2 linked regions of the Bombyx mori genome follow. The protein of the gene in region 2 interacts with the protein of the main gene of each other region in a pairwise test. Links are inferred from orthologs where the notes say so. Each region holds a gene or a part of one and is shown on either strand. Other genes may lie near its edges.

What was found.
Region 1: the proteins of pre-mRNA-splicing factor syf1 homolog (region 2) and peptidyl-prolyl cis-trans isomerase interact in a two-hybrid assay, tested with the Caenorhabditis elegans proteins (2 studies listed by BioGRID). The link is inferred for Bombyx mori from reciprocal best matches to the Caenorhabditis elegans genes syf-1 and cyn-13.

What each region holds. Positions count from the first base shown.
Region 1 is NC_085121.1:14,023,866-14,026,823, forward strand, and holds the end of peptidyl-prolyl cis-trans isomerase, read left to right. Parts: intron 1-61; coding exon 62-265; intron 266-1,412; coding exon 1,413-1,585; intron 1,586-2,168; coding exon 2,169-2,313; 3' UTR 2,314-2,323; downstream 2,324-2,958.
Region 2 is NC_085110.1:13,377,552-13,381,318, forward strand, and holds the start of pre-mRNA-splicing factor syf1 homolog, read right to left. Parts: upstream 2,278-3,767; 5' UTR 1,938-2,277; coding exon 1,899-1,937; intron 1,664-1,898; coding exon 1-1,663. Other genes in the region: zinc finger CCCH domain-containing protein 13, read left to right, coding at 3,247-3,767.

The sequences.
Region 1 (2,958 bases), on a different chromosome or scaffold from region 2:
CATTCAGATCCATACAGATCCATACATCATTGAAATTATAATTAGAATTAAATTTTTTCAGGTCACACCATCGAAACCGATAGAGAAACGCAATCCTCAAGTGTATTTCGACATAAGTGTAAACAAACAAGAAATAGGCCGTATAATTATGATGCTTCGAGCCGACATAGTCCCAAAAACAGCGGAGAACTTTCGATCTTTGTGTACACACGAGAAAGGTTTCGGTTACCAGGGCAGTAGCTTTCATCGAATCATTCCAGAATTCGTATCCTTTTCAAACATATAAACATTGGTCTAGTCATTTTCTAAAATATGCATAGATGTGTAATAATAGGTAGGGGAAAAAGTCTTTTCGCATTATAGAATGTACTAGCGACCCGCCTTCGCTTCGCTTCGGAAACATTAAATTTTACTATTGATAGCTGAGTCCCGCGATGTTAACCGCGGTTATTGTCGTACCGCGGGTGAAGACGCGAGGCGAAGCTAGTCTAAAAAAATTAGCCTAAGTTACTCCTTATATCATCAGCTACCTGTCAGTGAAAGTCCCGTCAAAATCGGTCCAGCCGTTCCAGAGATTAGCAGGAACAAACAGACAGAGACAGACAGACAAAAATTGTAAAAAAATGTTATTTTGGTCTATGTACCGTATATATATTCATATGCATGTAGTAAAAAGTGGCTATTTCAATATTACAAACAGACACTTCAATTTTATTTATATGTATATAAATAAAATGAACTTGTACTAAATTCTCTTTGGCTATACTATTTGTATCTGGCTGGTTTTAGTATCATTAAAAGTTATAGAACAAAATGGTACCGACATAATTTAGTTAAATGTAAATAAACTATATTAAAAAATGTGAATTTTCTTAAAAAATGTGAAGAAACTTTCTCCCCAACCTATTAAATTCCACGTCAGAATTTAGATTTGGTTACTGGGGTTTTTTAGACATTAAAAATTCTCTTACGTCATTCTCATAATATATAGTAAAAAAAAAACATATTATTGTGTGCAAATCATACGTGATAGAATTGAAACTTTGAAAAATTTTGGTTTCGAAATAATGAGACGAATGTAAAATTTCGGGAAGAGGATAAATTGTAGGCTACAAGTGATACAAAGCTTGATAATTATTTTACATTTTATTCGTATATATTACATAGATTTATTCAGAATGTATTAAGTAAGAATATTAGGTACGAAGCAGAGCACAAAGAGAACCACGCTTATATTCGTGGTATACTGTATAATGCTTCTATCTCATTTTCTCCCACGTTAAATCTTATGAATTTATGTGTCTGTCTCTTTTTACTGTCGCTTTTTCGTTTCATCAACTTTCGAATCACAACGATGCTAAAGAAGATTTTACTTTGAAAAAAAAAGGTGATTTCCTGAATTAAAAGCCTAGATGTGTCAAGGAGGAGACTTCACGAATCACAACGGAACTGGGGGAAAGTCTATATACGGCAGAAAATTTGAAGATGAAAACTTCGCATTAAAACACACCGGCCCCGGGGTTCTAAGTATGGCTAATTCCGGACCCAACTCGAATGGATCACAATTCTTTCTTTGTACTGCAAAGTAAGTAACATTATTAGTTTTTCTATCTTATTGCCCTTGTCAGTTTCGATTTTTATCTATACTAATAATAAAAATAATATTATAAAGAGGAAAGATTTGTTTGTTTGTTTGTATTGAATAGGCTCCGAAACTACTGAACCGATTTGAAAAATTCTTTCGCTGTTTGGGAGCTACACTATTCCCGAATGACATAGGCTATAATATGTTTTGAAAAAAATTAGGGATATTTACTAAAAAGCCAATAATCTAACCCAAGGTGTAAAAAATTACCTAAAATATTATTTACATCGCGTGCCCTGCGAAAACTATTGATGACAGAATAAAATAATGTACTACGACTTTGTAGAACACATTATTAATTACAAAAAGTGTCGCGTCAGAATATTATGTCAAATTATTGTAGTTATGCCGTAATAAGTGTTCTTTTATTTTTAAAAATAAAACAACATCAAATATCGTTGAATTTTTTGTTAAAAACTCGAGCGGAGCCGGTGCGAGCCGCTAGTGTAATAATAATTATGTTTCTCATGAAAAATATCTCACAGCGTTTCCAGAGTCTTAGTAATGATTTCATATTTTCTAGAACAGAATGGTTGGACGGTAAGCACGTGGTTTTCGGTCACGTGATCTCCGGCTTGGACGTGATGAAGAAGATGGAGAGGTACGGCAGTAAGAGCGGAACGGTTTCAGCGAAAGTTGTCATAAGTAATTGTGGAGAATTACAATGATTCTGATGAACCTTTGTTGTTTTATTTGATATTTAATAATAAACGTCTCCTTAATCAGACGTCTGAATGAGCAATACTAAATCTATCTACTCACTAGTTTTTAACCACGCCATATTTTTATTTTGCAATCGAATTCTCCTATCATGAACACACGTGACATGTGCATTTATGGATGGCCTCTTATTACATTGATAAATCTGGTCTCGCCTCTGGTTGTAGAGTTAACCACGGAATCCCATATCTTGTGCGCCCCCTTGGCGCAGTACCGTAGGGGGATTGGCCCCTGATGCCCGAAAAAAGAATGTGTTATAAAACCGGATAAGTTGCTATCAATGCCGGGAAATTTCCGGTTACGGCTTGAAGGACATAACCTTTATTATACTGTTGCGACTTCCGCATTAACTTACATAGTAGTCGGATTTTTAAGACATCCGGTTACTTAAAACCAGGTAGGCGGTTAGTTCGTCTACCCTATAAAGCAATAAAAGAGTCATCTGTTACCAGAAGGCGCCTAATAGCTTCAACGTAAAATTCCACGCCTTAAACATTCGACATCCCAAATTTCTTCCTGGAACGTATTTCAGTTCTATTTATATAGGATTTAATGAAAGCAATCCGTCTTAATTACAAATCTAATAATCACTA
Region 2 (3,767 bases):
AACCACCATATCTTTTTAAAAATTTTGTTAGATATGTATTCCAAATATCATACACATTAGGCCACTTGAATAAGGCAATACCCTTTTCATATGCTCTAAAAGCTTCTTCAAAGTAATTATGCTCTTCTAAAAATAATCCATAATTGATAATAATTTGTGGAGTAGCAATTTTTAAATCTATAATATGATCATACACAGCTTTGCAAGATTTGAATGTACCAAAACTCTCTTCTAAGTCAGCATACATGGACCAAACCTTTAGTGATTTATACAACCTCATTTGCACAGTTTCAGAATCATCATGATATGCTACTTTTCTGCTTGGTAAAACAGTGGCTCTTTGCATTAATTTTAGGGCTTGCTCATAATTTTCATGTCTGATTTCCATTTCAGCCCATTCACACCAAACTGAAGCTAAATCGTCTACTTTAACATATGCTACCTGTGTAGCTTTTTCAAAAATTAATCTGGCATCTTCAATTTGGTCATTGTTTTCATAAAATTTTGCAAATCCAACCCACAGTGTGAAAAGTTTACCAACAGCTAATTTAGGGTCTACAGTTTGCACTGCTTCAGTATATGTATCTATTATTTCATGGGGTTTACCTTCATATAATTTGACTCTTTTATGCCATTCAGCCACATTATGTGGATTTTGTCTAAGTAGAACTGAATTAAGCAGTAACAGCCTTCTTTCCATAAGATACTCAAATCTGGCAAGTCTCAATTCTAAATCAATATCATCATCTTCACTTGGATTAGTTTTCTTGGCAACTTCTTCCATTTTTTTACTAAGACTTAATTCCTCAAATTGTGCATAAGCATCAAATATTTGTGTAAAATCCCTCACTGTAGTCACAGTTTGTATAGCTTCTTCATAAATGTCTCTGGCTCTTTCAAAAAGACCACTTCGAACATAATAGTCTGCAAGAGAGTTCCACAGGTGGCCTAGCTGATCAGTGTAACGTCTTAATCCCCCTCTGATAATAGCGTCGACATTCAGAGAATGAATTTGATCAGGATTCTTTGATATCAATTCACATAATTCATTCCAAAGTTGATGATTTGACTTTCCATGTTTTGATTGAAAATTCTCATTATTAACTAGTTGAGCCAATTTGACTGCAGCTTCATCTAATTTATCTATTGAAGTTAAGTAGTCAATATACTCTTCAGTATCTTCAGGACATAATTTAAGATACCTACGAAACACTCTTACAGCTGTTTCGGGTATATTGTGTTTCTTCAAGAAATTTAAGTAAAGAGGCCATATCCTATGATGTTGAGTTATTGGTAAAGCTCTAAGAGCACTGTCAAACGCTTTCCTTGTTGTAGTTATTTTATACTGATCTGTTAAGAATGAACAGTAATCCATCCATATTCTAGGCATTTTGTGCATAAATACTAAAGACCTTTCAAAGCAATTGTTTACATCTTCATAGCATGGGTCAGCTATACAGCGACCTCTTATTTGTTTTCTTCTTAATTTAAGATAGTTATACCAAAGTTTAAAAGATCCTGGTAATTCTTTTAAAGCTCGTTCATATATCATATTAATTTCATGTTTGGGTGCAGTTTTCTTGTGTTCAATGTACCTAAGCCAATGTTTGACAGAAAATGGATTTCTTAGGATTTCCTCTTCATACGGAAGATCTTCTTCACTCTGTAACAATAACAATTTTATTTGAATTAATATGATAATAATGTTTGATATCAACGTACCAGAAAACCACAAAAGCTTTGGTTAGATTTTTTAAAGCAGTTGATATATTAAGGTTTCTTTGTTAATTGAATTTGGGTTGAAAAAAATATTTGTTGATTGTATTTTCATATGTCGGCAAAAGTAAATATGTATGCACACTAAGCATTGTAAATTATAAAAATATTTTTGAACTTACGAAGAATATGTCGATTTCTTTTCCGTCTAGAAGAGGCATTCTAAAGCTTTCGAATATGTACCGTAGGTACTATAAATTCAATTCAAACAGTTGAGTAATTGAATAATTAGCTTAATTCTATTTCTTTAGAACACACTCAAATATATTATGTGTATAATCTATGGAACACACTTCAGTGTTTAATCTATGACACACAATATCATAGATTGTACCTTATTTTTTTAAGAGATTTTATGACCTGGTAACTAAGACCTTTAGGTCATGTTTTATTTTAATTTATATTTTAATTTTTATGAAAAATCATAATATGGAGTGAAATGAAATGAGATGAGATGATGTGAGATGAAATATAATCTAAGTAAAATGGTGGTCATTTACTGAGAATTTTGATTCAGTGGACTTTTTGGAGAATCCCGAAAAGTTACGTCCAGTGGCTTTGTTTCATTTTCCCACTTTTGTGCACTTTCACAGATATTAAACAGTTAATAAACCACCGTTATTACACATTTAAACTTGAAGAAACACTAAGTAAACAAAATAAAACAAATCACACAATTTCACTCCTCGCGTTCCTGCCAAAAATCCGATTATAGATTAAAGAACGGAATAGATCCGATTATACCATAAATTTTAAGTATCTATAGATTATACACACTTGTGAGATAACTAATTTAAGTATTAGTTTGTGCGGCTTAATAATGTAACTGATCAAAATTAATTAATCTGAGCGATGAAAATAAAGATATCTAGTAAGGGGGGGCCCAACTTAAGGGAGATCATTTGTTTAATTAATTATAAATAATTAAAAGACGAACAAACAATTTTTACATTCGAAAATTAACGAACAAACGACGAACAAATAATTAAAAATAAAAAAAATCCAAAAATCAAAAAACGAGGGGCCAAATTTAGTGAGCCCTACCTATCTACTCCACGTGTAAAAGCGCTTCTGCTTTTGCCTTGGGCCTTGTAAGCTATCATAGATAATACGCTTATTATTTGAGTTTGAGATGTAAGCTGATTGTAACTTGTAAGCTATGTTAGGAATTATGGCCATCCATTGCCGTACTGCATGCAAACGTGTTGTTAAACAAAGATTTAAGTAAATATTAATTTATGTAACGAGAACTACATTCCGCTTGCCTACTAAGAGAAACTAGTAGAAAAAAATCGCTCCAAATAATAGCGTTTGTCATAGATAATAGACCATAAATAAATGTTTGTACAATTCCTTTTTGTAAAAAATATAAAACCTTTAATTTACTTGACTTCACCGTGCCGGTTAGAGAAGATTATTTTTTAGTTCTTTTTTTTTAGTTTAATGTGATACAAATGTATTTCTACTATAATGTCAAAACAAGGAAAAAGAAAAATATCTGTTGAATTGCCGAAAACGAAAGATCTCTCTATTAGACCTAGTGTGTTTGATCGGCTCGGTACTAAGAAATCATCAAGTGCTAAAAAAACAACTGAACATTGTAGACAGTGGGCCCAACACGGCAGCTGTGCTTACGGCAAAAGTTGTAAATTTGCTTCTACGCATACTCTTATCAGTCCTTCTAAACAACGCGCAGCTCATAAAGACAATGATCAGAAACGTTTAGTGAAGGATGATGGGAAGACTAGATTGCATTCTACTGTTATAGTGCGGTCAGGTCAAAGCCCCGAAGGAGAAATCGATAACTGGGACCAAAATGACTTAGAGTATGCAGACACAGATGTCCTCGAAAAACGAAGACAGCAGTTGCAGCGTGAACTAGAATTACAGATGAAAATGGATTCAAACAAAGACATGCGAAAAGATAAAAAAAAAGTCGTGTCCAGTACGTCTTCATCTAGAAGCTCTAGTTCTTCGAGTGTTTCGTCGTC